Linked DNA regions of Caenorhabditis elegans. The protein of the gene in region 1 interacts with the protein of each later gene in a pairwise test. Each region holds a gene or a part of one and is shown in the gene's direction. Other genes may lie near its edges. The genes, in order: hum-8 and rad-23.

Region 1 (5,034 bases):
AAGAAGACACACTACACGGAACTTGTTTGGAAACCAGATGTGTGTTAAGAATTCAGTAGTTTTGGTGCTCTAAAGACTTTGAAAAATATAACATTTTAGGAGTTTGTTAAGCTCGGCAAATTTACCGAACTTGCCGAATTTGTCGTGCACTGTAAATTTGGCCAACTGGCTATACCAGTTAATTCAAATCTTGCGTTTTCAACTCGACTTGAGTATTTTAAAGTCGATGGACGAAGAGATTTTGTAAATTATAACTTTTTAACTTTTTTTTGACCATAACTTTTTTTGAGAAGTTTTACAGAAGGGTCAGTATGAAATTCAGCGTTTTCAGACAATTTTTAGTCTCATAAAGTAATTTTTAAAAAGTTAGACTACACCACTTTTAAGCACGGCAAATTTGCCGAACTTGCCGAATTCGCCAAGCTCGGCAAATTTTGAGATTGCCGCACACTTCTGGAGAGGTCAGCGGTGGGCGACAAATTTGCCGAATTTGCCGTTTGCCGAACACGGAAAATTTCAAAAAAGAAGATTTGCCGAATTTGCCGAGCAGCAAATTTCGAAATTTGCCGCACATATCAAAAATTTAACATTGCAGTTTTGACCGAAACTATTGATTTCGTCCCCAAAACTGTAGTAAAAGGACACAAAATTAAGTTATTTCGATGTTTAAACAGATACACGACACAGAACTTACCGTATTTCCTCTATTAGTATGGTCTCCCTATTAGACTTGCACTCCCTATTAGTATTACCCCTCGGAGACCCTCCGAAAATTAGTATTACACTCCCTAATAGTCTTGCGTTTACTTTTTTATTGCAAACCCGTCTCGCCAATTTGAGGATTTCAACAACATTTTTTGCCTATTTTGCAACAGTTTCTCACAACATTGAAATTTTTGAAATTGAAATTTTTTTGAGATTGAAATTTTTAAGCTTATATGTTACAATTAAAATCATATTTTCTGAATTTTTACATAAGATTCGAGTTTATTCAGAAAAAACTAGTAAGCTCAAAGTCAAAAAAAATGTTCTGAAAATTAGTATTGCACTCCCTATTAGTATTGCAAGCGGGAAGACCATCGAAAAATGGCATTGCAGTCATACTAATAGAAGAAATACGGTATTCAGATACCAAATGTTTGTTCAGAGTTCAGTAGTTGTGGCGCTCCAAAAAACAGCAAAAAATATCACATTTTTTGGATTTTGTTAAGCACGGCAAATTTTGAGATTGCCGCACACCAGGGGTGTGCGGCAAATTTGCCGAATTTGCCGAATTTGCCGTTTGCCGAGCTCGGCAAATTTGCCGAATTTGCCGAGCACGGCAAATTTCAAAAAAGTAGATTTGCCGAATTTGCCGAGCTCGGCAAATTTCGAAATTTGCCGCACACGTCAAAAATTTGACAGTACAATTTTGACTAAAACTATTGATTTTTTAGCCAAAAATTTAGTAAAATGACACAAAATTAAGCTATTTTGATGCTTAAACAGACATACTACGCGGAACTTATTCAGAAACCAGATGTGTGTTAAGAATTCAGTAGTTTTGGTGCTCCAAAAAACATAAAAAATATCAAATTTATCCGAGTTTGTTAAGCACGGCAAATTTGCCGAATTTGCCGAATTTGCCGAGCTCGGCAAATTTTGAGATTTGCCGCACACCCCTGCCGCACACCCCCGGTTAAGATGTTAAATTCGCCATAAAATTTCAACAAAAAAACTAAATTCCAATTTTTTTTTTCAAAAAGTGAGTCTTATCAATTTCCTTATCAGTGAAACCGAAGGTGCTCGCAGGTGCCTCTGTTGATGTGTACTCTTGTGTCTGATTTCGCCAATCACACACTATTTTCTCATGAAATTTGACATGTTAGTCAACACATCGAACACAATTTTCCACCCTATTCTCACATCATCATGTCCTTATTGCAATTTTTTTCGACAACTTTTTACTTACAAAAAATTACTTTTTCCAGAAAAACAAATGCTACGAACGTTGAACAAAAAACATCAAATCACAGAAAATTCGGAACCTCCTAAACCGCCTCCGGAAATTTTGAAAACATCGGCTCAGTCTTCTTCCCAAAAGTCACGTGGCATTGGGACATTTGAGCCGAAAACAATTCCACGTGACATTGTGGATCCTAAGAAAACTGAGAGAAGAGCTGAAAAAGTTGGAATAAATGGTTTGTTTTTAAAACAATGTTTTCAACTTTTTTATTCATTTTCACAATGTTTGTCTTGGTCACATCGTAACTTTTTATTCAACTTCTCTTGTCATTTTGAGGCTTACAAAATATTATTCGCGATAATTCGATGTTTGAAAAAACTCTTGCACAAATTAAAGTCGCGATTTCAAGCTGAAATATGAAATCAGGGAAAGGTCTTTGAATTTTTTCACTTACTTCAGAAATTTGGAATCAGAGGAAAATTTGGAATCATTTAAAAATTTAAAAATTTCGGTAATATACCTTTAATGAAACCTCACAATTGAGTAAAAACTTTATCAAGTTATCAATGCAAAAACTGCATCGTACCTAATTTTTTTTAACTGAATGTTGTTTTTTGAGAATACTGTAGGTGGCAGTTTTTCTAACGAGATAATAACTACAGTTTGAAATAATATTTTGCAACATTATATTTGAGCTAATGAAGAGTAGCATATTGAAAATGATGTAGATATTTGTTGGATAATATTCCATAATTAGTCAATTGATAGTAAAACGTGGCAAGATATCAATTGAATACATTGAATACACTGAATACAGTAGACCTCCATCCATAATGTCGCTCCATGATTTCAGTGTCTCAGCCTCCTCCGGACTATGGAAGAACAGTGTGGATAACAGATGCAACAGACGGGTTCCGTGCCGCCCGTATAATTGATTTATCAGCAACTGGATTCACACTTCGCCTTTTGGATAATACTGGTGATACTGTGACAAGAGTTTTTGAAGATGTTTTGGCTTGCGAAGATGACTCAAGAAGACACGTGGAAGATAATTGTCAACTGATGCATTTGAATGAGGCAACATTATTGAATAATATTAGATTGAGATATCAAAATGGAAAGATTTATGTATGTTTTTTTAAATAGACATTTTTATCTCACCACAATGGCCAAATATCATAGTAGAAAAATTGTTTTAAAAAAATTCTAATTTTCATATGATTTTTTGAAAATTGAAAAAAATAACAGTTTAAATAAATTTCCATCGAATTTTATGCTCTATTTATGTTTCAAGTGTTCTTATTCAAACATTGCAGTGATTCGAACATGCTATAGTTTTCTCAAAAAAATAAAAAAATGTAAAATGTTTTCTCAGTTTTAACGTGATATTTTGGCATTTCGGCAACATAGGAGTGGTTTTTAACAATTTCCTGACAGGCGCTACTCCACCTTTTAGCCAACTTTAAACTTTGAACTAAATTCAAATTTACAGTCCTACGTGGCCAACATTCTCATATCAATTAACCCATATCAAACTATTGATGGATTTTACTCCTTGCAAAAAATCAAGGAATATCGTGGAAAGTCTCTTGGACAGAAGGAGCCGCATATCTTTGCGATTGCCGATAAATCCTATCGAGAAATGATCAGACATCGTAAATCTCAATCGATTATTGTGTCTGGAGAATCAGGAGCAGGAAAAACTGAATCACAGAAAGCAGTTTTGAGGTATTTATGTGAGAATTGGGGTTCTGGTGCCGGAGAGATTCAGAAGAGATTGTTGGAAAGTACGTTGTTTTTGGTGTTGAAAACTATCAAAATTATTCCTTTAAAATTTTCAGCGAATCCAATTTTGGAAGCATTTGGAAATGCTAAAACGTTACGTAACAATAACTCGAGTAGATTCGGGAAGTTTGTGCAAATTCATTTTGCGGATACCGTGAGTACCATTGATGAATCGGTCAACACATGGTTTTTTGTAGGGAAACGTGGCAGGTGGCTATGTTTCACATTATCTTCTGGAAACTTCGAGAATATGTCGTCAAGCAGCTGGAGAACGTAATTATCATATTTTCTATCAACTGATTGCAGGAAGTTCACCGGAACTTTTCAAATTCTTGGCATTAGGTCAACCTAATCAGTTTAATGTAGGTTTTCATACAATTTTGTTTAAAACGAATGAATTACAATCAACTGCAATAATGGATTTGTCAATTGTAGTACCTTAAACGTGGATTCATTGGTTTCTTCACTCATCCTTCATCTGGTACAACTTCAAAAATCCCTAAAAATCGGCTATCGGACCCCAAGTTCACCCAGGATTCAATGGTGGACGATTTTTCGGATTTTCAGCGGTTAGAATACGCTCTGAAATTAACTGGACTATCGGAACAAGAAATACATTTCATTTGGACTACAATCGCCGCAATTCTTCACTTGGGAAATGTTGAGTTCGAGGAAAGTTTGGATGATTCAAGAGGTGGATGTAAAGTTTTCAATGGAAGTGAGCAGGATTTAATTCAAGCTGCCAGGCTTTTGGGTCTCGAAACGATGGAGTTGAAGATGGGATTGTGTGCAAGGATTATGCAGGTGAGCGACCTAGAAAATGGAACGCGCAAAATATCTCGTAGCGAAAAACTACAGAAATTTTTCAAATGACTACTGTAGCGCTTGTGTCGATTTACGGGGCTCGATTTTTGAAATGAATTTCTTTTCGAATAATGTGGGCTTTATTTACTCTTTTAAACCGTTTTCGAGACATTCTCAATTTCAGCAATAAGTAAATTGAGAACATCTCGAAAATGTCTGCTAAAACTACTTGTTTACACAGAAAGAAGAATCTAGAACAACAAAATTTGCCCATTTTTGAGCTGATTTTTTATAGTACCCACAGCCATTACTCCTTATTTAATTAAAATATAATACATAGAAAAATATTTGAAAAAGCGTTTGAAGATTTATATGTTAACCTATGTAAATTACTTTCATCTAAAACTAACTAGGGAAGGGTCTGAAGGTGCCAGCGGCTTTTTGAGCGAAACTTGTTTCATGTGAAATCCCATGCTGAGAAACAGTACAATGTAAGTTTT
Region 2 (4,286 bases), on another chromosome or scaffold:
ATTGCTACTCACTGATCCTCACTCACCAGAAACTGCAAGGTATTACTGAAACACTAAATTCCGAGAATGCGTATTACATAACATATTTGACGCGCAAAATATCTCGTAGCGAAAACTACAGTAACTTTTTAGAGGGCTACTGTAGTGTCGATTTACGGGCTCGGAAATTTATTTATTTTTCGTTTAACAATCGAAACCACTACAGTAGTCATTTAAAGATTTACCTCGTGAGTTTATTTCCATAAGTAGACGATTTACTATTTACATGTAGTTTTCGCTACAAGATATTCAAAAATATGTTACGCAATACACATCATCGTTCATTCAACTTTTTTGGCAACAATTATTTATAATTTTTTCAGAGTGAACACGGTTCTAACAAATCAGCCAGAATTTGCCGAGGCTTTCAAATGTCCAGCTGGATCTCCGATGAATCCAACGAAACGCTGTGTTGTGTGGTAATCAGAAAATACGGGAAAGGAGTCAACCAAGTTGGCACGCTTTATCTATCTGTCTCTCAGAATCTACTAAATCTTTCGTCCTTTTTTTTTACTCATCTAGCTGTATATATTGTTGAAAACAATAGACACTCGAATTCACTGTATTTTGTCCCTCTATGTATTTTTTCTCGAATTTTTCCAACTTCTTTTTTTGGTATATCATATTGATAGATGTTCTTGTTCATTCCAGAAATCTTTGTGCAAATAAAATTTTCAGATGTAATTAAAACTTGCTAAAACAATGCATCGGAAAGTTCATTTTCTTACAGTACCGAGAAAAAGACGCGAATAAATTAAAATCAGTTTACAAATACAATGCTTGAGTTCTTGAAAGACACCGGTTAAACGATTTGTTCGAGTTGCTTGGCGTAGAAGAGGGTTTGAGTTGCGACTCGCACTGTATCCAAATTCACAGGCTTCTCCTGAGCCACCTCAATTTCGAAAACGTAACGCTCTCCATCCAAATGCCATTTTCTCTGTAAATAAATATATTTTTTAATACTTGTAGCTTTAAAAATCATTATTACCTCTTGTCCAAACTTTTTCATTTGTTCGTCATTGTCGAACAGAAGCATGACCGTGGCATCCTTCGCTGTCAGAACTTTGAAAGACTTCTCGATAGATGTTGCGATTTCGCGACGGATGGTGTCAAGCATAATACGAATGAAAATAGTGTAGAAGGGGCTTGGAATATTCTTCTCGGTGAGCACAACCTTGTTGTAGGCTCCTTCCATGAGACTCTGTTCAATACGAACTGGCGTAGAGATGTAAGCGTTTGATGTTTGCTCTTTCTGTGGAATTTGTTCGAGGAGCATGTGGAAGTCGGACAATCTGTTGGCAGCGAGCAGGAACATCAGATGGAGTCCAGTCATTAAATGCTTGTTTTCAGAATTTTCTGGCGCCATTGTATAGTAGGTATGCATCTGGAAAATTAAAAATAATTTACAGATCGTTAAAAATTACATAAATTTTCCAAATAATTATTTAAAGACTCACCTGATTGATGTAATCGTCGAACGTTTCGAAATCGTGCTTCAGAATTGCCAAGAGCACCGAAATCTCGTACAAATCTCTGAAAATTAATAATTTAAACTCATTACACCAAAGAAAAATCTTACTTTGAAGCCAATGCAGACTGTTTATCATTCAAATCGCTGGAGGCACTGAGAACCTTCTGAAAATTCAATTTATTTACAATTTGACAAACAATTAACTGACCGTCAACTCATTCAGAGCCTTCTCAACTGCGACAAGATCTTTTGGCTCCTTTGCCCACACAGCCAGAAGATTTTTATGGGCGGCAGACATTTTCTTAAATCCAATAATGTTTTAATTTGATAAAATCGAAGATAAAAGTTCACGATAAACACAAGTGAAGTTAAAAAATAAAAATAAAACATTCAAAAAAGAAATAAACGCATTCTCCGTAAATCGACACAATGACAATTCTGGCAGGTCTCGCCACGAAGAGTGTTCAAATCATGTGCGCCTTTAAGACGCCAAGCCATTTTCTCTTCTGTTTTTTACCACTTATTTTGTTCTTCAAAATGGTTTTTTTGTTTTGTTCTTTTATTAATAATCAAATGTTTGTTTATTTTATACATATATACTGCTTGTTTTGCATTAATATCAATCTGTTATCGATATTTATTTCTTTTTCTTTCAATACATGACTCTATTCGTAACATTTCACAATTTTTTGCAGGATGGTTTTGTCCGTTACATTCAGGACTCTCACACAAGTTAACTTCAATTTGGAATTGAATGAAGATCAGACGGTAAGATTAGAGTTAATGTTCGACTTGTATTTTATTTTTCTTTCAGATTGCGGAAGTAAAGGCTCTGGTCGCTTCGGAGAAAGGGGATGATTATGCTCCAGAACTTCAAAAATTAATCTACAACGGAAAGGTATTACAGTGAAGGCTCATAATATCTTTAAAGTATGTTTTTTTTTTAGATTCTCGACGATTCTGTGAAGGTCGGAGAAGTCGGATTCGATTCTTCGAAGTTCGTTGTTGTGATGCTCAGCAAAAGGAAAGTCACAGAAGTTGCACCTTCATCTACCGTTGCCACAGCTGCTGAGCCTGTTCCAGTAGCTGCCGCTCCTGCGTCAAACCCAGCCCCAGCTGCCGATGTTGCTCCTGAAGCTGCTGCTCCTGCTGAGGCGGAGGCGCTTACGGATGAGCAAGAAGAGAACGTTCTCGCAATCACTGGAATGGGCTATGACCGTGAACAAACTATCGCTGCTCTGCGCGCAGCATTCTGGAATCCAGACCGCGCAGTCGAGTTTCTTCTCAACGGACTTCCTGATGATGCTGCTGACCAAGAACCAGATTTGGGGCCCGAGCAAAACATCGATAACGTGGATGAGGATGGCAATGACGATCTTAACATGCTTGCAAACATGCCACAGCTTGCAGAAATTAGAGCTTTGATTCAACAAAATCCTGAAATGCTCGCCGCAGTCCTTCAGCAGTTGGCTGCTGTCAACCCAAGACTTGTTCAGACTATTCAGAACAACCAGCAAGCTTTCATGGATCTTTTGAATGGTGGAGCTCAAGGAGCCGGAGCCGCTGCAGGAAATGCGCCAGAAAGAAACACCCCACGTCGCCATGTTATCCATCTCAGTCCCGAAGAAGCTGCTGCTATTGAGAGAATCAAAGCCATAGTTGTTAATGCACCAGAAGCTGTGGTTGTGGAGGCTTATTTCGCATGTGACAAAAACGAGGAAGCCGCTATCAACTTTATTTTCAGCAACCTCGTGAGTTTATTTCCATACGTAGATAATTAGAAGTTTAATTTTTAATTATTTCAGGATGAGGAATAATTATCTTACCCATGCCAATAACTTCTGATCACCGTCACTGGAAATTGCAACAGAAATTAATTTATTCTCTCTCCCCCATTTCCGTAAAGCTTATATTCTTGCTCCTATCAGCCTAATTTTTTTATTAACACTTCTTCCAAGAATGTGTATTCATCGCCTTCTCGATTGCCCTTTGTCTATATATTTAAGATAATAACACATTCAGTTCCATGTGCTGATTGTCACCCGCTACTGGTAGGCACTTCGTTGAAATTCTCGTCGCGTTCAGCGAATTTTGTGTGACATAATTTCGGTATTGTAATTCCCTTTTGTCATCCAACATTTTCAAATGAAAGTCAAATGTTTTAATGATTCTTCGTTTCGATTTATCAAACTTTACCCAATGAGTCATCACGATTTCGTACTCCAATATCGGTCGTTCATTTCTTCTGAATATGCGCTAATTCACTTTACTTGAAGATGTCTGGAAAAATAAGCGAAGAAGCTATGCAGGAACAGGCCGAAAGGGCGGAATATGTGAAAAATATTGGGATTGAGTACAGATTTGGATGCTACGAAGTGAGAAATTTGAATTTTCAATCTTTCTTTGAAGTTAAATTTTCAGGAAAAAAGGCCAGAATCCTGTCAATTGCTCGGCGAATACATGGAAGCTCTGCAACAAAATTTTCAAGCGGCCGTAGCGATTTTCAAGAAGAACTGTGACGAGAACAGTTATCCAAAGTCATGTTTCAAGTACGGAATGTACATGTTAGCCGGAAAAGTTGGAGACGATGCAAGTCTGTCAAAAATGATTCGACCGATGAAAATCGCATGTGATGCGAATATTCCACAAGGATGTCGATATTTATCACTTGTTCATTGGAATGGAGAAAAAGATCGGAAAGCTGATTCAGAAAAGGCTGAACGATACATGAGAAGAGCCTGTGAACTGGAAGATGGTGAAGCTTGCTGGTTGTTGA

The links.
Region 2: the proteins of hum-8 (region 1) and rad-23 interact in a two-hybrid assay, tested with the Caenorhabditis elegans proteins (2 studies listed by BioGRID).

The regions. Positions count from the first base shown.
Region 1 is NC_003282.8:437,489-442,522, reverse strand, and holds the start of hum-8 (Myosin motor domain-containing protein), read left to right. Parts: upstream 1-1,968; 5' UTR 1,969-1,978; coding exon 1,979-2,180; intron 2,181-2,798; coding exon 2,799-3,073; intron 3,074-3,437; coding exon 3,438-3,732; intron 3,733-3,786; coding exon 3,787-3,884; intron 3,885-3,927; coding exon 3,928-4,092; intron 4,093-4,165; coding exon 4,166-4,534; intron 4,535-5,034.
Region 2 is NC_003280.10:11,650,649-11,654,934, reverse strand, and holds rad-23 (UV excision repair protein RAD23), read left to right. Parts: upstream 1-2,205; 5' UTR 2,206-2,206; coding exon 2,207-2,278; intron 2,279-2,324; coding exon 2,325-2,408; intron 2,409-2,457; coding exon 2,458-3,261; intron 3,262-3,315; coding exon 3,316-3,327; 3' UTR 3,328-3,673; downstream 3,674-4,286. Other genes in the region: nep-1 (Neprilysin-1), read left to right, coding at 1-39, 363-462; rpn-12 (26S proteasome non-ATPase regulatory subunit 8), read right to left, coding at 842-976, 1,028-1,423, 1,497-1,572, 1,619-1,674, 1,719-1,808; coa-7 (Cytochrome c oxidase assembly factor 7 homolog), read left to right, coding at 3,787-3,885, 3,932-4,286.